4 linked regions of the Saccharomyces cerevisiae S288C genome follow. The gene in region 4 interacts genetically with the main gene of each other region. Each region holds a gene or a part of one and is shown on either strand. Other genes may lie near its edges. The genes, in order: SUT1, PRE9, RPL8A and UBX4.

Region 1 (6,297 bases), on a different chromosome or scaffold from region 4:
GTAAGATGAAGGCCACGTTCACCAGGTTATGTACGATGTAAAACAAACGATAGTTGTATCTTCTCATTGGCCCAATCGAGCAAATAAGTAAAAAAAGTACCAATATTGATATTATGAATCCCGCAAAATTGAAAGTTTTCAGAATCAATTTTTGCTTTAGAGAGACATTATCGTCTATCGCCCACTTAATGATGAAGAAAATCCCATGAAGCAAACCAATCACGGTGATAATACGTGAAAACCATTTATGGAACGGTATAAAATCAGTGTAGGTGCAATTTTTCCTAAGGAACCAATTAGGCCTTAAAGTGAGGAATAGGTTCAGCGGGATCAAGGCGTAACTCAACCTCCCTAATCTTTTGAGATAGACCGTAGATTGGGTAGTCAAAGAGTAATGGTAATAAAATGGAATCAAGACTGCAAAAAACAATATACCTAAGTGAATTGCAGGATCTATATCATACAACCGATAAATTATCTTATTTTTGAAAGCTGACGACGATCTGGATGGGGTTCTCCTTCCGAAAGCTCTCAAAAGAGCCAATCCAATGAGATAGACCAATGATATTATCAACACATAATACCCATACTTGATATTGGCAAAATGTGTCTCGGAATGTCTTTTAACCAACGTTATGAGAGGGGATTCTTTCATATTTATTGGAAGGCTTACCAAATTAGAAGTTTCTGGCGACGAGATATGGAAAATGTAGTTTTTAAATAACACGTCTACAATATAAGGAAGGAAAAGTCAAAATATTTTAGCGCCTTTAAGTGCGGTTGAGACCCCATAGTAGTATCCCTACAAATAATAGTTAAACTGTATTTTCAATACATAACGTAACAGTATATCGGTATTACGGAGCAGCGATCAATTAAACGCTATTTACCCGGCTGTGTATTATACCTAATTTCTCAAGCAGTGAAAATGTATCAACGTCCTACGCTCAAGGTAAAAGGGGCCAAGGGCAGCGACCACATTGGATCCAAACGCATTGGTTCTGTAGTTCTTTTTTACGCTTCATCCACGATTGTATACTAGCAAATAGGATTGACTCGACAAAAGCAGAAAAATGCCGTCCAATAATAGCAGTTTTTTAGATATTGACGATGATCTCGAGGGTGTAGATGATTTTGGCAACGAGCCCAACCCATTTGATGATGCCACCGTACCTGATAGCCCAAACATGAATAACTCGACTGCTGGAAAGGGTAGCGAATTTTATAACACAACGGGCAGTAAGGCAGAATCCGCACCATTACAGGGTCAAATGGACCCACCAGCGTACGACCAAGTGATAGGACAGAATGACAACGACGGTCTTGGGCGTAATGGATTGAGGCCAGGATTGATAAACTACTATTCTAAATACTTCCAGATCGATTTGACGCAGTTCAAAAAGAGATTGTCCGCGGTACTGACGTTTAGAAACGATCATAATTCCGAAAGTAACGAAGATAACACTGATTTATACGGTGCTGTATGGATCACTGCCACGGTGGTAATGATCAATTTTACCATGAGTAGGGGGTTAAATTTTATTATCAGTGACGTAATTGAGGGCGTCAAGACTGGTGAGGACATCGACAGGGCCAGTCAGTTTAAGAAGCTACTGCATTCTATTTGGCTATTTTACGGGTACACGTTCGGCGTACCATTTATTACCATGCAAGTATTGAATAGAGATGAGCACTCGGAGCGCAATAGAAGCTTCAAAAGTGTTCCTGAATTGATTTCCGTTTACGGGTACGCTAACTTGATCTGGATACCCGTTTGTGTTATATTGAATATATTGGATATGTCCAAGCGCCTGAGGACTGTTCAAGCAATTCAATGGGCAATTGTGGCTCTTGGGTGGGCACAGTCGTCTTATTTCTTGAATTCTCAAATATCGAGTAATAATAATACGGAGACACAATCGAACGGGAAATTTTCGCTGTCCATCATCGTTGTCGTTGCGCTGCATACTTTATTCTGTCTATTGTTCAGGTTTATAATATTTTGAAAATATGCGCACGTCTATACACACAATACTTTTTATGACTAGTATCATTGTATACTCTTATTATGTAGGGTTATACATGAGTGTTTATACGTTTTCTGTGTGTACATATATATCCATATATGTTAATGCTAAATGCAAGTTTTGTGATGCTATTCATTAGAGATGCCTTTGTCTAAAAATCAATGCTTTTATAGTCATCATAGGTTATGTCGTAAATGGTTTTATCCTTAAATTTTAAGGAGATTTTGGATGAAATGTTTATGTCAGCTCTGGTAAAGCCTTTTGAAAAAGTACATTTATCATTTTTTGGGAAATTAGTGGAAGAAGAAGAATGCTTTTTCTTAATGCATGGTAAACAAGGTGTGAGCAAAACCAACTTATCAATATGCTTAATCAACTTGCGTGAGCCTGTACCCTCAATGACATCATCCGGTATGGCAATATTCCGCAACAGCGTGCCTCGATATAGCCGAATATCGTCAGGAGTCAAGACGTACCGCAACTTGTTCGAGATCATTGGCATTATAGTATCGTCTTGAAGCAAAATCTCAATTTTCGCATTACATTTTATTTTTTTCAAACGACATTTGTCACAACTTGGGCCACTTCTTTGTCTCTTGGAAATTGAACTAGTAGATGTGGCAGAGGAGGTTGTCGAGTTGCTCGTTGAGCGCGAAATTATAGACATTTGAGTGCATGACGCATTAGCGTCTTCATTGACCATGGAAGCAAGAGCATGAGGATGATACTCAAACAATGGTGGAGTGTAATTTTGTGGAGGGGGAACAATCGCACTTACGGGGAGCGTTGGCGGCGGCGTCACCGTGGCAATACCAATAGCGCACTCATTACTGTCAGCGGCAGCAGGCTTTAATCTCTTATAGCCTCCTAAAAGCTCGTCAGTCGGAAAAGCCCGCTTCCTCGTCCAAGTGGTCGACAAGAGTTCTGGATCGGTGATGCCCACATTTTGGGTGCCTTTACGCCGTATATCTTTTTCTAGCAGGGAAACATTGGGGAGCAATAGCGGTGGTAGCGATCGATCTCTATTTCTTACTGTAATGCTTGTGGACATCTTCTTTTGACATACGATGACCTCAATGATTTAGATTATGTGTTGCACTTTTATAGACCTACCAAAAATCCAGTGCGTACACTAATACTTTCATAAAGATACCTGAAACAATAACCAGAAAGATCGGCAAAAAAATTTTTTTTCTTTGCCGAGATCACAAACCTACTATGACGAAAAAGCTTGAAGTTTAGATGAGTAAGGAAAATACAAGTGACGCTTTTATATGGTGCAAGGAACAAAAACTAAAAACAACAAGGCAAATGTGGATCTGTCATGTATGGCAACGACAGCAGGATGGCTCACAAAAAAAGACAAAAAAAACTAAGGCAAAAGAACAAAGCTCCTCTCCTGCTCAAGAAACGTATTGTTGAAAAACCACCGTCGTAAGAAAGTTTTTCTGTGACCTATAATGGTTTAAAATCGGCCCATTTTTTTTCCCTCTTTTGTGGTCCAGTCTTTCTCATACTCGAGGGAAATTCGACACAAACAGCGGAGAAGTGTGGCTAAACCGGCAAGTGCCTGCAAGATCCACAGAACTAACCGCACGAACTGGCGGTCAGAAAAGAGCCTGTTCCGGAAAGAGAGAAACAGAGAAACGATCATGATGGGAAAGCGGGGATTCGGCGAAGAACGAGACTGGAAAGGGAAAAAGAGAAATACTGGTGGAAGTATTCGGACCTTTGGCGAAGTCCGAACCCTTGAAACCCAAAGATGATCGATGATTCATTTTTCAATGCGCTACGGTTCCTGCCGCTCGTGGGAACCCCACGCAAAACATATTATTCGCTTCTCTCTGCTGACAACTCCGGTTTACGTTATACCGTATTAGGATCACTATAAGGGTTCCTTCGGGAGGAGGGGGGAGGGGAAGAATGTACATCGTCATAAGGCCTTTATGGTGTGAAGTGGGTTTTGCGTGGAAAATTCGTTTTCAATGATATAGAGCCCACGCATATACGTACATACTAGTGGCCAAAAGCGTGGGGTGGGCGGACAAAGCTACACTGGTAAAATACAGGATTCTATGAACAATAACAACAACCAGCTCACGTTGCTGAACAGCCGAGGTCAGCCGATGCAACCGAGGTTTCCAAAGTAGCATTTCTGTGCTAGCTATGTCTGTAGGTTTACATTTAATGGTGCGTGGTTCCAGCTTCATGTGCTTGCATGTGATGTCCTGCAGATGGTAAGAAGATTCTGAAAGCCGCGCTAGGAGAAAAATATTCTGCTCGAAGATCTGTCCTCTTAAGTAGAAAGCGTGAAATTGTTGCGTTCTTGCATTACTACTCAACGCGTACGCAAATGCGTCTACTGCACCTGCATGATAAAGCTTATGTATCAAAAATTTAACATCTTGAAAATACACAAGTGGTGCAAAGATGTGTCACGTTCTGGACCTGAGTGGTGCCATGTATGCTATTTAACATGCAAAGGGGAAGACCCTTCCGCCTTACTGCAATAATAAAAAGTATTTTACGCGTTACCCAATATAGCAAAGTTTCGCGCAAAAAAAAAAATAAAAAACAATTACAAACAAAAAGAAAAAAAAGGAAATAATAGAAGATCTAACTGAAGCGAAGGCCAAAACTCTTCTCACTTGACGTAATAGCCGATACAAAATCTAGAGCAGCAACTTTTCTCTTTCTTCACTAAAGCTGCTACGAAAGTATAGAAAAATCAAACGCTCAGAACTTAGCTCTATTTCAAGGTACCATATATATTTCCTTATAACTGATGGCAAGACGCAGATTACCAGACAGACCACCAAATGGAATAGGAGCCGGTGAACGGCCGAGACTGGTACCTAGGCCTATTAACGTACAAGACTCGGTGAACCGACTAACGAAACCGTTCAGGGTCCCGTACAAGAACACGCACATCCCGCCCGCTGCTGGTAGAATCGCCACCGGGTCTGATAATATCGTAGGAGGAAGGAGCTTGAGGAAAAGATCAGCGACTGTATGTTATTCCGGCTTGGATATAAATGCGGACGAAGCAGAGTACAACAGCCAAGACATAAGTTTTTCTCAGTTGACTAAACGACGGAAGGATGCTCTTAGTGCTCAAAGGTTGGCCAAGGATCCGACAAGACTGAGTCATATCCAGTACACTTTGAGAAGATCTTTCACTGTGCCAATCAAGGGATATGTACAAAGACACAGTCTGCCATTAACGTTAGGAATGAAAAAAAAAATTACTCCAGAACCTCGACCTCTACATGACCCTACAGACGAATTTGCCATAGTGCTTTATGACCCGTCCGTTGACGGTGAAATGATTGTCCATGACACATCTATGGATAACAAGGAAGAAGAATCAAAGAAAATGATCAAAAGCACACAGGAAAAGGATAATATTAACAAGGAAAAGAATAGCCAGGAAGAAAGACCCACACAAAGAATAGGACGCCATCCAGCTTTGATGACAAATGGTGTGAGAAACAAACCGTTACGTGAGCTACTCGGTGATTCGGAAAACTCTGCGGAAAACAAGAAGAAATTTGCTAGTGTCCCTGTGGTTATTGATCCAAAACTGGCCAAGATTTTAAGACCCCATCAAGTCGAAGGGGTGAGATTCTTATACCGTTGTGTCACAGGGCTTGTCATGAAAGATTACTTAGAAGCTGAGGCGTTCAACACTTCAAGCGAAGATCCCTTAAAGAGCGACGAGAAGGCACTTACTGAATCTCAAAAGACTGAACAAAACAATAGAGGGGCCTACGGCTGCATCATGGCCGATGAAATGGGGCTGGGTAAGACATTGCAGTGTATAGCACTTATGTGGACATTATTAAGACAGGGCCCGCAGGGTAAAAGACTTATCGACAAATGTATCATTGTTTGTCCATCTTCTTTAGTCAACAACTGGGCTAATGAATTGATAAAATGGTTGGGTCCCAATACTCTAACTCCGTTAGCGGTTGATGGGAAAAAATCTTCAATGGGTGGTGGTAATACAACAGTTTCGCAAGCTATTCATGCCTGGGCTCAGGCACAGGGAAGAAATATTGTTAAGCCCGTTTTAATCATATCGTATGAAACATTACGTCGAAATGTTGATCAATTGAAAAACTGCAATGTGGGTTTAATGCTGGCAGATGAAGGGCACCGTTTGAAAAACGGTGACTCTTTAACATTCACAGCTTTGGATAGCATCAGTTGTCCTAGAAGAGTTATATTATCTGGTACACCCATTCAAAACGATCTTTCCGAATATTTT
Region 2 (6,031 bases), on a different chromosome or scaffold from region 4:
ATCATGAAGACGAGTTTATTCTCATCAGTGTTGATCTCTCATACTTGAATAACTCATTTGCAATGGTCTAAGACTCCAACTATGTAGTCATAGTCATTCACTGAAGTTTCTCTTTTCGAAATCCTGAACGGAAGCGGAATATATGTGGTATATATCGCATATTACTGCTTCACAGCATGCAGCGCAGACTGGCCGGGTTATGCTGCCACTTACTGGAGACAACATAAAATATACATAATCATCGCCTTTATACATAATATGCCAAACTTCTGGATTCTTGAGAATCGTAGGAGCTATACGTCTGATACATGTATGTCGAGGATCGTGAAGGAGTACAAAGTCATACTGAAAACATTGGCCAGTGATGACCCCATAGCGAACCCCTACCGGGGGATAATCGAGTCACTTAACCCGATTGACGAAACCGACTTGAGCAAGTGGGAAGCTATAATTTCTGGGCCGTCAGACACACCTTATGAAAATCATCAGTTTCGAATACTAATAGAAGTCCCTAGTTCCTACCCCATGAATCCACCAAAGATAAGTTTTATGCAGAACAATATTTTGCACTGCAATGTTAAATCAGCCACAGGAGAAATATGTCTGAACATCCTTAAACCAGAGGAGTGGACTCCTGTATGGGATTTGTTACACTGTGTTCATGCTGTTTGGAGACTCCTAAGGGAACCCGTTTGTGATTCTCCACTTGACGTAGACATTGGTAATATCATCCGCTGTGGCGATATGAGTGCCTATCAGGGGATTGTAAAGTACTTCCTAGCAGAAAGAGAGCGGATCAACAACCATTGATACCACGTAGGATGGATGTGTTCGAATGGCAAACAATGGGCCCTCACTTTTATCTGATGCAATTTCTACCTTACCCGGGCAGCGCCAATTTATGAATACAAATACTTTAACAAATTGCACTATTGATGTATTGACACATTTGTATATACATATACATATATTAATAAGGAGCACGAATTTTTGACAAGTAGTGCACGCAATATCTACATTAGTTAGCTTTTCCATTGACGCTGAATTTTATTTTGGCAGCCCAGTAGATCGTTGAGGAGCTTTTTTCAAACACTTTTTCTCTCTTAACTCCACATACTTACGTAAGAAAGTGATGACGAAAAAGAAAGCAGCTACTAATTATGCTGAAAGGCAAAATTTAGCCAGTGAAGATTCTTCAGGTGATTCGGTTCATTTTAAGGACTTTATTCCCTTACAAGAGTTACTGAAAGATAAAAATTATGTTCCATCGGTGGAAAATTTGGAGAAGATCTTATATAATGAAACCATGTTTAATGATCAGAAAATATGCTCTAACCTATTGCTTGAGGCTCTCATAATTACGTTGTTCACAACAATTTCAGGGAAGTCAGCTTTACGATTAATTCAGACTTCTTCTTTGAAGGAAAGAAAATCCTGGGCCCAGTCCTTTGAAAATAACAGTTCTAGCTATGCTTCCATAGTACTGAGTTGGAAAGATAATGATATATTACTCCTGAAATTCTTAAGGTTTTTATTAGCAAATAAAACGGCCCCTCTTCAAATTAATCGGTACAATCTTCCAGAATACAAACTCCCGTTGAGCTTTTTAATTGTTTCAAAAATTACTATTCCGTCCATATTACTCAATGAAACGTATAATTTGTTAAAGGACTATTTGTATTCGATAACTGGCCGTATAGAGAGTTTGATAAGCTGCAGCTCCACATTTGATAAGCCAGCACTTGTCGTTAGAAAAATTTTAAAAGATTACAATAGAATGATAGAATGCCGAAATTTTTATTTCTGGTATTCCTTTAATGCTGAGAACAGAGTAAATCTTACTTTTAGTGATAACATTAGCCTGTTAATGGAAAATGATGAAGGCAATGCTGGAAGTGGCCTTGACGATAGCCGTTTTGATCATCAAAAACAACCGAGAGAGGCGATAATGGGCCGAACAATAAATGACCAGGAACAAATATATTCATTCGAACTGAACCAAGATGGAACGCTTGAAATACCCAACGTTATGGAGCATTCTTTACTAAGACACGAGCTTCTTTTTAAAATATTAAATCTCACTACGGTATTGACGCCATTATTGGAACTACAATTTTCTACGCTATGTGGCTTAGTAGATCCATTAATGCAGCCTACTCCCAATGATAAGCATATTATATCGATAGACTTTCTTTTTCAGCTTTTTTTGGGATTAATGTCTCAGTCGATCAAGACTTCTCAAGAACACAACGACCATTATGACTGGAAATTTTATATGTGTTTTAACATGCAAAAAATTATTGATGCTACCATGTTGAGGCTCAACTGCTTTGATTTTGATATATTAAACTCGGTAAACAATACAGATAATGCAGTTCATTGGAAGACGCAACTTCACAGATGGCTACCGCATGGCCTGAATACACAAGACTTGGAATTACTCTATATGATTGATATACTGGCGGTATATACCATCTACAAGTTGTATGAAAAAATACCTATACAACTAAACCCATTTTTATTTTCATTAATATCCTTATGGAAAAACCTCTCCTGTGTTATACTTTTAGCCTTAGAAATTGATAGAATTGAAGAGGAGAATGGCACTTACGAAACGCCGCTTATGGTTCGCGCCACAATTCGTGGAGCCGCAGCATTGAGGTCTGTAATAGCTACCGTTCTCAATGGATTAGTGAAAAATAATGATCATGATTTCAAGCACGAGTCTTTAAACACATTCATGTCGCCCTATGGAAGAAAATTGTGTCATGGTGCTTTATATGCCGATTTAAGGTCACATACTGCATCTCTACTTGCGCTTGGAGCAAGCATCGAAGATGTAACAGATTTATTTGCCGATTTACAGTCAGGTGATAGATTTGATGAGGATATTAGATATATGTTTGATTATGAATGTGAAGATTATGATGAATCTTTCTCTGAAAGCGATCATGGAGGATTGGATGAAAGCGTTGTTAACCCAACAGAAAAAATAGCATCTGGTAGTAATAATGTTTTCTTTCGGAGACGGTGCAATTGCATCTTCAATGATGATAAGTTGGTGGCAGAGGATGGTGCAAATGAAGCCTTTGGGTCAACAAATAGCGAAAACGTTGAAGGCGCAATGCATAATAATAGGAATGCGGTACATAACGCGACTACAGCCACTTCTGATCACGTCGTTACGTCACCTAACCCACTTTCCGTTAGATCAAGAAGTACTTTTGAATTTGACTATAGTGGGGAAGATTGGAGGGACGTTCCCAGAGATTTCAATATGTACTATTCGCCATCTTATTCATTCATCCATGAGCCTAAGTTAGATGTCATATTTAGTTTGACTCTACGTGGCGCAACAGAAAAGTTGAATAAGGAGGAATCCATATTGTTAGTGCGTTCAGTTGCATCGTGTGTAAGGAACGAGCAGGACCAAATGATTTTAGCAGACCTGGAGTCTAATTTTTCCGCAAGTATAAACGGCGATGTAGAAGGTGAAGGAAATACCAAAATGTCCAAGATAGATAATGAAGATCTCAGAAGAACCACGCCGGATGATATTTATGAAATATGGTCTGAAGAATCAGCATTTGAAAGGATGCTAAACGTGAATCACGACGTTGCGTGGAGATTAATGGATGAAATGTTAATGTGCACCGGTTATAGGAGAATATTGATATGGTTCCTTACGCATTTGGAGTTAAAACATTCGTTGATATATTACGTTTTTGAACTAATAATGGGGTTACGTGGAAAACCGTTTTCCGGAGAAGCCAGTGATCAAGATAAAAAGGATGATATGATATATGAGATCTTGAAGAAAAAGCAGAAGAATGAAGATGCTTCAGGACTTCCCTTTTCAAGGCAAGGACCTATCGTATTATCTGATATTGAGACTAAAATGTTACTGCAGGAGTTTTTTATGAATGCTGCTATTTTTTTGTCATCAAAAAATAACGAAGAAGAGAATGAAGACGGCGAGAAAATCTCCTTGTACTCCCTTGGTTTGGTTAGGTTGATCTGTTACATGGTGCAGACACTCATCGCGAACGACAAGTTTTTTTTTACCAAATCAGAATGCACTTTTGAGCTTCAAACTTTACTGATGACATGGATTGGCATCCTTCCTGAAGCCAAAGATTTATTCTTTAAGATCAAGACAAGGCTCGCCATGGAAGAAGAGGATAGTGCCGATACTATGCAGCATGAGGGCAGGAAGAACTCTGACATAGAGAAGAAGCTAAACGCTAAGCCAGCTTCTGAACTGAATCTGAAATTGTTAAACCTGTTTCCCTCAAAGCCTGCAAACAAAGACGATAGTTCCCCTATTAACACGTTGCGTAGTTTTATCGCTGATTACTCCTTCGACACCCAGGTGAACCCTCCAGGAAGAAGGGTGGTGTTCTACGATGGTAAGATTTTGCCATTGCCCAAAGCCGATAAGCCTATCCCACTTCATGAATATATAACACTCGCAGAGCTCGATGTTGGAGACAGTGAGTGAGCAGTGAATTGCTCATGTTTTCTCTGCATCCTCATTTAATGACAATTAGCCATGTAATAACATCTTGAGGCAGTTAAATATTCGTTACCCTGCAGGTGGCAAAAAATTTATAGAATAAAAGCATAAAAAGATGGATATCTATGTAATAAGGAAACATTGGCAGAGCGAAGAGAACAGACTGCTTTCTATAAAAAGTTTTCGATCAGTCTCTATTTTAATAATTGATTATTGGATATAGTTAGTAGTGTTAAACATGGGTTCCAGAAGATACGATTCCAGGACAACAATTTTCTCCCCTGAGGGACGTCTATATCAGGTTGAATACGCGCTAGAATCCATTTCACATGCAGGTACCGCAATTGGGATTATGGCATCTGATGGGATTGTTCTTGCAGCAGAACGCAAAGTCACAAGTACTTTACTAGAACAAGACACCTCTACCGAAAAACTTTATAAGTTAAACGATAAAATTGCGGTTGCCGTTGCTGGACTGACTGCAGATGCAGAAATTCTAATAAATACGGCTAGAATTCACGCTCAAAATTACCTTAAAACCTATAATGAAGATATACCAGTAGAAATTTTGGTGAGAAGGCTAAGTGATATAAAACAAGGTTACACGCAACATGGTGGTTTAAGACCATTTGGTGTGTCCTTTATCTACGCCGGTTATGACGATAGATACGGTTACCAATTGTATACATCTAATCCATCGGGAAACTATACAGGGTGGAAGGCTATTAGTGTTGGCGCTAACACATCAGCAGCACAAACCCTACTTCAAATGGACTACAAGGATGATATGAAAGTCGATGATGCCATTGAACTGGCTTTAAAAACGTTATCCAAAACTACCGACAGTAGCGCGCTGACTTATGACAGGTTGGAATTTGCTACTATCAGAAAGGGTGCTAATGACGGAGAAGTGTATCAGAAGATTTTCAAGCCTCAAGAGATAAAGGATATATTGGTAAAGACTGGTATTACCAAGAAGGATGAAGACGAAGAAGCTGATGAAGATATGAAATAAGGTTGGAAAGTATTGTTTGACTTCATGCTTATATAAATATGTACGCATAGAAACATATCTCTAAAATTAAAAGTGAAAGAAAAAAATCGCTAAGATTCCCCTTTCGGGGGAAGGCTGAAGAAACTTTTTTTTGCGCAAATTTCAAGATCGGAATCGCTCGAGAGGCAAATATAAAAAAGGGCCTGCTCGTTTGGCCTACTTGTTGTTGGATTCTAACTCCAATCTAATTTTGGCAGCACTTCAAAAATAAACAAAAGCGATGTCTGCGTCACTAGTGAATCGATCATTGAAAAATATAAGGAATGAATTAGAATTTTTGAAGGAATCAAACGTCATATCAGGCGACATTTTCGAATTAATCAATAGCAAGTTACCTGAGAAATGGGATGGAAACCAAAGATCGCCCCAAAATGCAGATACAGAAGAGTACGTTGAAGCTTTATATGATTTTGAAGCTCAACAAGATGGAGATTTGTCATTGAAAACAGGTGATAAAATAC
Region 3 (6,050 bases), on a different chromosome or scaffold from region 4:
CAATGAGCCTCTGTGTACCAAGGCGTATGAGGAGAACGACCTGATGTTCGGCACTGTGGACACATGGCTGATTTACCAATTAACTAAACAAAAGGCGTTCGTTTCTGACGTAACCAACGCTTCCAGAACTGGATTTATGAACCTCTCCACTTTAAAGTACGACAACGAGTTGCTGGAATTTTGGGGTATTGACAAGAACCTGATTCACATGCCCGAAATTGTGTCCTCATCTCAATACTACGGTGACTTTGGCATTCCTGATTGGATAATGGAAAAGCTACACGATTCGCCAAAAACAGTACTGCGAGATCTAGTCAAGAGAAACCTGCCCATACAGGGCTGTCTGGGCGACCAAAGCGCATCCATGGTGGGGCAACTCGCTTACAAACCCGGTGCTGCAAAATGTACTTATGGTACCGGTTGCTTTTTACTGTACAATACGGGGACCAAAAAATTGATCTCCCAACATGGCGCACTGACGACTCTAGCATTTTGGTTCCCACATTTGCAAGAGTACGGTGGCCAAAAACCAGAATTGAGCAAGCCACATTTTGCATTAGAGGGTTCCGTCGCTGTGGCTGGTGCTGTGGTCCAATGGCTACGTGATAATTTACGATTGATCGATAAATCAGAGGATGTCGGACCGATTGCATCTACGGTTCCTGATTCTGGTGGCGTAGTTTTCGTCCCCGCATTTAGTGGCCTATTCGCTCCCTATTGGGACCCAGATGCCAGAGCCACCATAATGGGGATGTCTCAATTCACTACTGCCTCCCACATCGCCAGAGCTGCCGTGGAAGGTGTTTGCTTTCAAGCCAGGGCTATCTTGAAGGCAATGAGTTCTGACGCGTTTGGTGAAGGTTCCAAAGACAGGGACTTTTTAGAGGAAATTTCCGACGTCACATATGAAAAGTCGCCCCTGTCGGTTCTGGCAGTGGATGGCGGGATGTCGAGGTCTAATGAAGTCATGCAAATTCAAGCCGATATCTTAGGTCCCTGTGTCAAAGTCAGAAGGTCTCCGACAGCGGAATGTACCGCATTGGGGGCAGCCATTGCAGCCAATATGGCTTTCAAGGATGTGAACGAGCGCCCATTATGGAAGGACCTACACGATGTTAAGAAATGGGTCTTTTACAATGGAATGGAGAAAAACGAACAAATATCACCAGAGGCTCATCCAAACCTTAAGATATTCAGAAGTGAATCCGACGATGCTGAAAGGAGAAAGCATTGGAAGTATTGGGAAGTTGCCGTGGAAAGATCCAAAGGTTGGCTGAAGGACATAGAAGGTGAACACGAACAGGTTCTAGAAAACTTCCAATAACAACATAAATAATTTCTATTAACAATGTAATTTCCATAATTTTATATTCCTCTCCACCTTCTATTGCATCATGTACTATTCAAATGACTGTAACACTAGTATTATGAAGAAAACACCCAAACATATCTAGGCCATCAGATTTTTTTTTTTTCATTTTTCATTTTTTTCTCATTTTCTTATTTATTTTTATTGAAAAATAATAACCGACGCAAACAAATTGGAAAAACCAACGCAAAAAAAAAAAGACGCTAAATTGTTTATAAAGGCGAGGAATTTGTATCTATCAATTACTATTCCAGTTGTCAGTTTACATTGCTTACCCTCTATTATCACATCAAAACAACTAATTCGAAATGGCCCCAGGTAAGAAAGTCGCTCCAGCTCCATTCGGTGCTAAGTCAACTAAGTCTAACAAGACTAGAAACCCATTGACTCACTCTACTCCAAAGAACTTCGGTATTGGTCAAGCTGTCCAACCAAAGAGAAACTTGTCCAGATACGTCAAATGGCCAGAATACGTCAGAGTGCAAAGACAAAAGAAGATCTTGTCCATCAGATTGAAGGTTCCTCCAACCATTGCTCAATTCCAATACACTTTGGACAGAAACACCGCTGCCGAAACCTTCAAGTTGTTCAACAAGTACAGACCAGAAACTGCTGCTGAAAAGAAGGAAAGATTGACCAAAGAAGCTGCCGCTGTTGCTGAAGGTAAGTCCAAGCAAGATGCTTCTCCAAAGCCATACGCTGTCAAGTACGGTTTGAACCACGTTGTTGCCTTGATCGAAAACAAGAAGGCTAAGTTGGTTTTGATTGCTAACGATGTCGACCCAATTGAATTGGTTGTCTTTTTGCCAGCTTTGTGTAAGAAGATGGGTGTTCCATACGCCATTGTCAAGGGTAAGGCTAGATTGGGTACCTTGGTTAACCAAAAGACCTCTGCCGTTGCCGCTTTGACTGAAGTCAGAGCCGAAGACGAAGCTGCTTTGGCTAAGTTGGTTTCTACCATTGACGCTAACTTCGCTGACAAATACGATGAAGTCAAGAAGCACTGGGGTGGTGGTATCCTTGGTAACAAGGCTCAAGCCAAGATGGACAAGAGAGCTAAGAACTCCGACTCCGCTTAAATTGAAAATGAGAAATTTTGCATAAAAAATTTATTTTTTAATAATAATATTAATTTTCAAACGTTTTAATATAATAATGACCTTAAATAACCTTTTAAGGTGATTGCTTTGTTGAAGCTTTGATACTTGGACCATGGGAAGTACCTCATTATAGGAAAATCATATCGACTTATTTTGAATATCACAATAATTTTGCATGCCTTAGTAGTTTTGGATTACCTAAGCTATGTTGATCGCATCCAAGATTATTAGGTCAGAAGGTCATTAACATCCAAAAGCGATATGATTGTGCCATTGAAGTGAGTGAAAGCCGTGGTTTCGAGACAAAGTTACAGAAGTAGTCACCGTTGTAAATAAGTATTGCCATATCGGATTGATGCTGGGAAGAAGTTCAAATTCATATTCTCACTTGCGCTACCCGTGCAGCTGGCAATCTTGAAGCCAGCGTCCAGTTAGTCTGATATGGCGTGTTTAACGATGTTTGAAACTCCACGATCATTGGTCGAGTCAAGAATAAATGTAATGTCATTTGAAATGTCGTCAGTAGACGTCCGTTACAGTTATGAAAGACTTCGAGGCCGCACACTAAGAGTCACCATGCTACTTCTGCAGGTGGCCGCGCTGTACACTTGCATTTTGTATGGGGAACTTTATATTTAAAATTAAGGCTAAGGCAATGTAGGCACTATCTAGGGATCTCAAATACATAAATTTCTCTGCAATTAAGTTATTAGATCTACAATTTACCAATTTTATCATCGAGCGGAAAATATTGAAAAGTATATACAATTTCTCCTAAAAAGGCCCTGCTCGTTTTGACCTGTACTAGTAACTATTTTGCAGCCAATTATGGTAGTGAAAATATGATAGTACACTATTTTTTGGGTCACTACTGCCGCTAAATATTTTAAAATTTGTATGAATTGCCTCTTTATTATCTTTAAATTCCCGTCCCAGGTGACGCGTCGCCAAAGGGAAGGGGCAAAACTAGTCGAAAAGCAGAATAAAATTTTTCTAATTTAGCCACCCTGAGTGTCACAGGTTGTGGCATAAAGGATACGCAATTGGACTCAAAATAATCATTCTGCAAATTTAAAGGAAGTTACTGAGTTATCACTACATCGAGAGAAGAAGTTTCCCCCAAAAGAAAGAAGAAAACCCTCAAACGAAGAAAAATATGTCTGCTGAAATTGAAGAAGCTACTAATGCCGTAAACAACTTGAGCATCAACGACTCCGAACAGCAACCAAGGGCTCCTACTCATAAGACAGTAATTGACCCCGAGGACACAATCTTTATTGGTAATGTTGCTCACGAATGTACCGAAGACGACTTGAAGCAATTGTTTGTGGAGGAATTCGGGGATGAAGTCAGCGTAGAGATCCCAATTAAGGAACACACCGACGGTCACATTCCAGCTAGTAAACACGCTCTAGTCAAGTTCCCAACCAAGATTGATTTTGATAATATCAAGGAGAATTATGACACGAAAGTCGTTAAGGACAGAGAAATTCATATTAAGAGAGCTAGAACTCCAGGCCAAATGCAAAGAGGAGGTTTCAGAGGCAGAGGCGGTTTCAGAGGCAGAGGAGGTTTTAGAGGAGGTTTCAGAGGCGGCTACAGAGGAGGTTTCAGAGGCAGAGGGAACTTCAGAGGTAGAGGCGGCGCCAGAGGTGGTTTCAATGGACAAAAAAGGGAAAAGATTCCATTAGACCAAATGGAAAGATCAAAGGATACCTTATATATTAATAACGTCCCATTCAAAGCTACCAAAGAGGAGGTCGCTGAATTTTTCGGTACTGACGCCGACTCCATCTCTTTGCCAATGAGAAAAATGAGAGACCAACACACTGGTAGGATCTTCACATCCGATTCTGCTAATAGAGGTATGGCATTTGTCACTTTCAGTGGTGAAAACGTTGATATTGAAGCTAAAGCTGAAGAATTTAAAGGCAAGGTTTTCGGTGACAGGGAGTTAACTGTAGATGTTGCTGTTATTAGACCAGAAAATGATGAAGAAGAAATTGAGCAAGAAACTGGTTCTGAAGAAAAGCAAGAATAATTACTTCTTACCCACATCCCTATTTCTAACTTGAGTTTTTGCTAGAGTTTTGTATTTTTGTTCACCTTCCCTGCAAAAGAAATATGTGTATTTATATATGCGTGTATACCTATATATGATATGTAAAAATGAGACGCCCCTGTTTTATTTTCAAACACTTCCCCGTATAGTTTTTTGCAATGACACTACTTTAACTTCTTCGACATGATTTGCTTTAGCACTACGAAGGATTGCATCATAACGTTTCGAAAGGGGTGCACTTTTAAAAACCAGTAAGTGAGTGCCTCGTGAACTGCTATTTTCGTATTTTGAAAAAAAAAATAAAAAAAAACTCCCTTATATATATATATAAATATCTATGTACTAAATGTCAAATCGCTAGCTCTCACCTATATCTTATTCATGCTGCAACCTCAATGGTTCACTACCTCGGAGAATGGGAACGGATCCCCTTATTATCCGAAATAATGGTTCATTTTGGGAAGTTGATGATTTTACTCGTTTAGGAAGAACTCAGCTATTGAGCTACTATTTACCATTGGCTATCATAGCCTCAATTGGCATTTTCGCACTTTGTCGCAGTGGATTATCTCGTTATGTAAGATCTGCCGAGTGCGATTTAGTGAACGAATATCTATTTGGCGCACAAGAAGAGAGAAAAGAAGATAATAGTATAGAAAGACTTCTACGGAACTCAAATACCCAAGCCAATTACGTCAACGTCAAAAAGCAAGGAAGGATTTTGAAACTTAGACATTTTGATATAACAACTATAGATGTCAAGCAAATCGATGCTAAAAATCATGGTGGACTAACGTTTAGTAGACCGTCTACTAGTGACCACTTAAGAAAATCATCTGAAATTGTATTAATGTCTTTACAAATAATTGGCCTTTCCTTTTTAAGAGTAACAAAAATCAATATTGAATTAACGAACAGAGATGTTACAACTTTACTATTATTTTGGTTAATACTACTTTCCCTAAGTATCTTAAGAGTTTACAAGCGTTCAACGAATCTTTGGGCCATCTGTTTTACTGCCCATACAACTATTTGGATTTCAACCTGGATTCCAATTCGTTCGGTCTATATTGGTAATATCGATGATGTACCCTCACAGATATTTTACATCTTTGAATTCGTAATTACTTCAACCTTACAGCCAATAAAGCTCACTTCACCGATTAAAGACAACTCATCCATCATCTACGTTAGAGACGACCATACGTCTCCTTCGAGGGAACACATATCCTCAATTTTAAGTTGCATTACTTGGAGCTGGATTACCAATTTTATATGGGAGGCCCAAAAGAACACTATTAAGTTAAAGGATATTTGGGGCTTATCAATGGAAGACTATAGCATTTTCATTCTAAAAGGGTTTACCAGGAGAAACAAGCACATTAATAATTTGACGCTAGCACTGTTTGAATCTTTCAAAACATATTTACTCATAGGAATGTTATGGGTTCTGGTGAACAGTATTGTAAACCTTCTTCCCACAATTTTAATGAAAAGATTTTTAGAAATTGTGGATAAC
Region 4 (6,742 bases):
CGTCCGGGTCCTTTCTTAGTCCCATTCCTATAGTGGCATCACCGCCATTGCCGCCGCCACCGTCATCGTTGATTGTAGCTGTCTGTGAGTCTCCTCTCACGTTGTCATTGCTCTTGTTAGGCAACAAGTATCTATTAATCAACGCGATGTTGTTGTGCGGACTTGTTGGTGTTGCACTGTGTCGTACTGATTCAGATACAAGCTCTTTCTTGGGCGACACACCTACTGGAGTCTTGACGTTGATGGAGTTCACTCTTAGTCTCGAGCTGGAATTTGAGCTTGACGAAAAACTGTCCGTAGACAAGGTTGGTTTTCGTGGGTTGAATACTGGATTTGTGATAGAACTCCTCCGATTCCCACCGTTACCGCTTGTTGTATGCGTTGATATCCTTCTTGGTAATACCGGCAACGGACTATTATTGGAATAGAGCGAATATGGCGAATTCATGCTTAAAACTGGGGAAGGCCCGTCCTCGAAAGTGGCCTTCGCATTTAGTATAGGAGTTCTGAATGAACTTGGTTTTTTGCCTGCACCCAACGGTGGCCCCTTCTTTTTCACCTCTTTTAACACTTTTGAATATATATTACCTACTTCAAACGTTTGTGCTACATCTATTGGCTTCCAATTTCCCTTGTCCCTGACATTATCATCCAAGGACACCTCACCTTCATTGAGAAGCATCTTCATACAACTTATACTGCCATACTCCAGGCATACATGCAGCGGCGTGTCGCCATTAGTGTCCATTACCCATAAATCAGCACCAACTCCTATCAACAGACTCAGACATTGGTAGTAATCGTTCATACATGCTATATGGATGGGGGCTCTACCATTCTCTCCGCGATGGTTGATAAATCGCGGAAATTGTTGCAAAAGTAAATGTAAGGTTTGCTCGTGCCCTTTCATTAATGCTAAATGCACACAGGTGTTTCCTTTAAAGGTTTTTATTAGTTCATGCTTGTCGTGCCCCAGCTGAATTAAATACACGCATATAAGGTATCTTCCATGGTATGAGGCGTAATGTAATGAACTCCATCCGTTCTCTGAGTCTATGTTGGTTAGCAAATCCGGATTCCGTCGCAATAATCTTTTCACTATAAGTAAATTGCCTTCAATAATAGCCTCCCGCAAGCGAACTGAGGGCTCTTTCAACATCTTTTGTTCAATATATCCTCTTTTCTAATGGGCGTTTTTTTTTTTTATTTTTAGGGTCCAGTTGATTTATACATTTTCAATTGTACCAGATCAAAAAAGTCTAGAGGAAAAAAACGTAATTAAGACAGAAGAAAAAAAGTATCAACTCCGGAATAACCGGGCCGCAAGAGAAATCAAACAATTAGTTGCACGAACATTTTTATCAGGAATAAGCAGGTAAGGGTAGGTATAAAGGTCAGCTCAGTACACGTATATCGTGTGAGTTATCTTTATTAAAATAATGATTCCAGAATAAGCGATGAGAGAGTAACGCTATTGGAATATGATATGGGAAATATCTTGAAACAATTTCAATAATTTGTCCATGTTTATGCAGTGTTGTACAAGCGTTTTTAAAGAAACTGTATAATATTCAAGATAGCGGGCGCCTCAACCGCTGTTTTGCTCCTCTTTTCTCTTGGAACTCTTGCCAAGAAAGATGTACGCCTTATAAAACGCTAGATGCTATTTCTTGCAACTTTATTACAAAATTTCAGCACTATTTCTTGCAATCCTAGATGTTTCCCTGTCTTCTATCTTCGATGTTAATTTAGACGTTTCTTCAAAGATTCAAGTTCTCTTTTATTGTACTATGTGTGGCAAAAAAAAAAGAAAACCAAAAAATGCAAAAACTAAGATAAATCTACGTACTGCGAAGAATAGCAAGGCAGACTAATAAGCGCACAATACAATGCCTATGGTTACCGTGAAGTATAACTTCCAACTTTTCAAATGTAAAGTTTCGTTGAATTCAACACTAAACGATGTGTTACACCAATCCATACAATTCTTTCAACTGCACACCTCGTCAAACGACTGGTCATTGATACATTTGGATAAACCGGTGCCATTAGATTTGCCATGGAGGCTTCTAAACTTACCAACGGGTGTCAACTTAGAATTATCTAAAAGTAGTAATTTTCCGGTGGCGAATAAGACCAACCGCGAAGATATTCCATTCAATACGATCAAAATACGGTTTCAAATCCCAGGAAGAGATTCCGTGGTTAAAGAAATGCCATCTGACCAACCAATTGCCCCTATCTTGCGACAGATGAGCGGCGCTGCGGGAGATGATTTTAAGATCCAGGTCTTTTCCAAGATAATAGAGTTCAAAACAATTAAGGATGAGAATTTGACTCTCGAAAATTTAGGGATTCAGGAGCCTTCGTCAGTTAGATTGATTTTTAATAATACATCTCATTCTGAGGGCATTAGCGCTAATAGCGCTATTCACCCAAAACAAACTCCCCCTACGATGACGAACCCGGAAACGGTTGCTTCACTACCACCTCACGAACTACATAAACCTTCTGTGTTTTTGCCCTCGGATGAGCCATTAGCAGTTATCAAGGATCAAATCGAGGATGAAGAAGATTATGAATTGACAGTAGAACAAGCCAAGAAATACCAAAAAATGTTATCATCGAAGGCTGGTACTTTGGGTGGTCCTATTTTGACAAAGAGACTTAGAGAGCAATCAGCCAACAACTTGCCAAAGAAAAATAAGGCTATATCTGAGTGTTTGCTGAGAGTCAAGTTCCCCGATAGAAGCCATATTCAAATAGCATTCAAACCCAATGAAGACATGCGTACAGTTTATAACGTCGTGTCGCAGTTCCTGATCGATGAGAACATGCCTTTTACGTTAAACCAATCTCATCCTTTCAAACCCTTGGCTAAAGACGATAAGAAGCTACTGGATGACCTGGAATTTGGCTCTAAAACAATGCTGCTTTTTGAAACAAATTCAAATTCTAATGGCCCATTAATAAAGGCTCATCTTTTGGAAGACGCACAAAAAATCACACACGAAACGAGGACAACCCCATCAGTTAATACGATAAATAAATCCAATCCACAGGGCCCTTCTGATAACGCTACAAGTATCAAAAAGACTTTAAATAGAGTACCTAAATGGATGAAATTAAGTAAAAAATAAATACAAAGCTAAACAGTCTCCTCTTTTAACTTTATTACAAATATGTACACGTATAGCTAAAATTATATAAAATGCATCCGTTTTTTTAGGCTTTTATCTTTAACTTATTTACATCTTCTATTAATTCTTCGAGTAAAGTAAACTCTGTTCCTAATTCTTTAAAAGCATCTTCTACCATCAAGAAAGTAGAACAATCACTTTTTTCCTTCCATTTTATAAAGATCAAAATCTCCCTGATCAAATGGGATATTGTATTCTCTTGATTTGTACCCTGTGGAATGTTTTTTAAGATTGACTCATTATTCATTAGCTCCGCCTTCCGTAACTTGTACTCACAAGCATCTTTACTGATGTTACTAATATCTCGTAAATATTGTCTTTTCAAACCCTTTAGAATATACATACTCAAATCGTAATCAATATTCAAGTCAAATTTTTTCGTTAGAAACGTTAATATGGCAGGTATTGCTTCTAAATCCCCGCTTTTCATGAACGTGGACACAATTAATTTAGAAAAAGTTTTGTCTGGCAAAATTTCACCATTTTCTGCCGTCATTTGGAACAATACTCTTGGGTGACAAGTTGGGTGAATCTTTATCTGCCTTTTTATTAATTTCTTTACAATGGACGACTTTTTCGATAAAATCCTAGAATTATTTTGTAAAACATGATAATAATGGCAATACACAGACCAAATCTTGTGGTACAGCGGTTTTGTTATGATGCGACGGTTGTAAAATCGGCAAGGGTTTGAGGTGGATAATGAAGACTCAGAGCTCACCTGTTGTTTGGATTCAAGTAGCGGATTGATGATCTCAAAACTTGAATTAAAGTCATACATGCTATCATAAAAATTGAGTATTTCTCTCAAAAAAACAGCATTTGGGATAACCTCTGACTCCTGCATTCTTTTTAAAAGTGACTTCACTTTCTGCTTAAATTCCTTTTTTCTAAATGAGGGCGTATTTTGTGCCTTCATATTTTGAATTTGAAGACTATAAAATTCAACAAATTTAGCGTAATGATATGCATTAACTTCCGAATAAAACTGATTATAGAGTAAATCTGGATCTGTTTTTGATTTCTTTGAGGCTTCTTCTAGTTTTTTTAAGATATTATATGCTTTTTCTTCTTCACCTGTACCGAGAAGTATGTTCAACAAGCCATTAAACTTTCTGGAACGTGACACACTGTTTAATTCCATCCACTGTCCAGAAGCCTGTTTAGTAATGAACTCTTCCAGAAAATCAGTTAATACAATACTTTTTGTTAAGGCCGAAACATTCTCAAACAGCAATTCATTGTATATTGGAGAATTAGTGTTATACTTAGTAATAACGCTCTCAAATGCCTCTTGCAACATTTTCACATTATTCTCAGGCACTACATAATCTTTATTTTGAGCAAAAATGTTTCGTAGCTTTTCAAAATCTTTCAACATATTTAGCTTGGTTTTAACAAGTAGAAATGCGGCATCTTCTTGTGTCGTTCCAGGTATTTCCATGTACTTGCTGATAAGTTGAGCCGCCATGGGAATATTTCTCTTATAAAGATGGAAATCAACAATGCTGATATAATCATGATCCGATGGTATTTCTAGTTCATTTAAGAACTCAGTTGCATGTTTCTCATTCTGAAAATTTTTAACTCCCGTGGGAAGTTCCTCCTGCTCATCTTTCATTCTGATTATTCCAACTTCTTCCACTAACTTAATAAATCGATCAGTCAGTATATTAGCTTCAGTAACATTGCCAATCGACAAATATTTTCGTATGCTCAATTTGGTAACTCTTGGGCTCAAATAAGAATACTTTGTTGAGTACTTTGCATCTGTCTCGGCTAAAAGTTTCCTGAAGTTTCTCAAGTGGTTAGACCTTAATGTGATCATTAATCCTAGTTCATTCCACCAGCGCTCGTTTACTTTGTCTTTATTGGTAATAAATAAACTGTATGCAGCCTTATAGTTTCCAAAAACTAGTAGGGATTCAATATAGAATGACTCATTTATAGGATCTAAACGAACTTTCCCTGTGCCATAAAGTAAATTTCCGACCAAGTAAATCCCTTTCTCCTTCATTTCTTGCACTGGTATCAATTTAACAACTTCAAAAGCTTGAGCAAGTTGGCTGAATGTGACCATTTCTGTTATTGACTCTTTCGGTTTGATTATGCCATTAAACCGTTCATTAAAACTTTTCAAAATCTCCAGTAAAAATGATGTACTCCTTAACGGTATATGGCCCTCTTGATCTTCAAATTGTTCTTGTGCTGATCGGAAAATATCGTTCATTATGGATTGCTCTAAGTCATCTTCATTTCCTTTCTCTTCATTGTATACCTGGGTTTGGCCGGTCGTGTTCAATCTTTTGATTTCTAAATCACACTCTTCGAGCAAATAATTGAAAACTGCATTAATTTTTACGGTGCTATTAGAGTCCTTGCTTTCTAAGGTTTTTTTTAATCTGTTTAAATTCTTGTTACTTCTTTTAAAGTTAGTTTCATTACAAAATTTCAGATATTGAATGAACGTTTCCTGGATAGTATCAAGAGGATTGATCTCCTGAAATTTCTTATTACTGAGAAGATTATTTTCGATTTCCTCTGATGTTTTTCCTTTCAAAATGAGACATTTTTCTGGTTCGTCTGGCCCTATGATGGTCTTATTAAGAACTTCAGGTATATGGGAGGCATAATTCAATGGCGCCCGCTTCAATCTATAAAAACGAATCTGAGACTTTGCTATCAAAGCGCTGCTACAGAGTGAGCGGTTGTATTTGAACATGAGTTATAAATATAGTATGGCCTTGTTTAATACGTTACTACTACCTAATGAATACTACCTGTGCCCATGATATAGAATCTCAAGATCTTTTTGCTTCGTCTTCAATGATAAAGCTGTAGGTGCTGCACTCGAACTCTCTTAAGCAAATTAACTTGGATAGTGACGTAGGACACCTTCTCTAGGTTCACTTGCCCGTATTATGGCCACCATGATCCGGTGTCCTTGAATTTTTAAAGAATATTTATTTTGCTAGACTTTGAATGCGGCTATATACCTATACATCTATGTATATATAGGCTTTCATATATTGTTACATCGGTAATGTTAAAAATCAATCAATGAGCCAGTCTTAGCTCCTAGATAAATTGAAAGTAGAAGAGCTGCCCATTGGTAATAGCGTTTAATAGGAATCATTTTGACGTTTACTCGAGACGTACGGTATTTTGACCAAATCCACACAACGGAGCACAGTAACCAGTAGTATTTATTCTTGACTGCAAGGTACCCACATCTTATAATCATTTTACTAGTTTTCCACATAAAATCCAATACCCTCATCATTGTCATGACATTTTTATGGACAAGTGAGACTCTGATTTCAATGTCGTCTAATTTTTTTTTTGTGCCATTCAGTTTCTCTGAAATATCATTAAAAGTTGAAAAAATCTCCTCATTCCATAAAGCAAAATCTCCATTTAGTGTAGATGTTATAGCTGTCCATTCTTGTAGTAAGGTATTTTTGAAGTTCGTCATCTCAGGTACTATCTCATCCGTCATGGATGGTAACAATGAATCATGAAGGATGGAATTGAACCCTTGC

The links.
Region 1: mutations in UBX4 (region 4) and SUT1 together harm fitness more than expected from each alone (negative genetic interaction), as found in Saccharomyces cerevisiae (2 studies listed by BioGRID).
Region 2: mutations in UBX4 (region 4) and PRE9 together harm fitness more than expected from each alone (negative genetic interaction), as found in Saccharomyces cerevisiae (4 studies listed by BioGRID).
Region 3: mutations in UBX4 (region 4) and RPL8A together harm fitness less than expected from each alone (positive genetic interaction), as found in Saccharomyces cerevisiae (2 studies listed by BioGRID).

Annotation. Positions count from the first base shown.
Region 1 is NC_001139.9:194,919-201,215, reverse strand, and holds SUT1 (Sut1p), read right to left. Parts: upstream 3,079-6,297; coding exon 2,179-3,078; downstream 1-2,178. Other genes in the region: AIM14 (putative metalloreductase), read right to left, coding at 1-655; YIP5 (Yip5p), read left to right, coding at 1,074-2,006; DNA-dependent ATPase RAD54, read left to right, coding at 4,813-6,297.
Region 2 is NC_001139.9:756,638-762,668, forward strand, and holds PRE9 (proteasome core particle subunit alpha 3), read left to right. Parts: upstream 1-4,754; coding exon 4,755-5,531; downstream 5,532-6,031. Other genes in the region: PEX4 (E2 ubiquitin-protein ligase peroxin 4), read left to right, coding at 259-810; CCR4-NOT core subunit CAF130, read left to right, coding at 1,133-4,501; LSB1 (Lsb1p), read left to right, coding at 5,791-6,031. UniProt on the Saccharomyces cerevisiae protein: The proteasome degrades poly-ubiquitinated proteins in the cytoplasm and in the nucleus. It is essential for the regulated turnover of proteins and for the removal of misfolded proteins.
Region 3 is NC_001140.6:31,653-37,702, reverse strand, and holds RPL8A (60S ribosomal protein eL8 RPL8A), read left to right. Parts: upstream 1-1,677; coding exon 1,678-2,448; downstream 2,449-6,050. Other genes in the region: GUT1 (glycerol kinase), read left to right, coding at 1-1,324; SBP1 (Sbp1p), read left to right, coding at 3,626-4,510; putative ATP-binding cassette multidrug transporter VMR1, read left to right, coding at 4,947-6,050. UniProt on the Saccharomyces cerevisiae protein: Component of the ribosome, a large ribonucleoprotein complex responsible for the synthesis of proteins in the cell.
Region 4 is NC_001145.3:400,721-407,462, reverse strand, and holds UBX4 (Ubx4p), read left to right. Parts: upstream 1-1,889; coding exon 1,890-3,140; downstream 3,141-6,742. Other genes in the region: AVO2 (Avo2p), read right to left, coding at 1-1,159; SOV1 (Sov1p), read right to left, coding at 3,226-5,922; KAR5 (Kar5p), read right to left, coding at 6,247-6,742. UniProt on the Saccharomyces cerevisiae protein: Involved in CDC48-dependent protein degradation through the ubiquitin/proteasome pathway.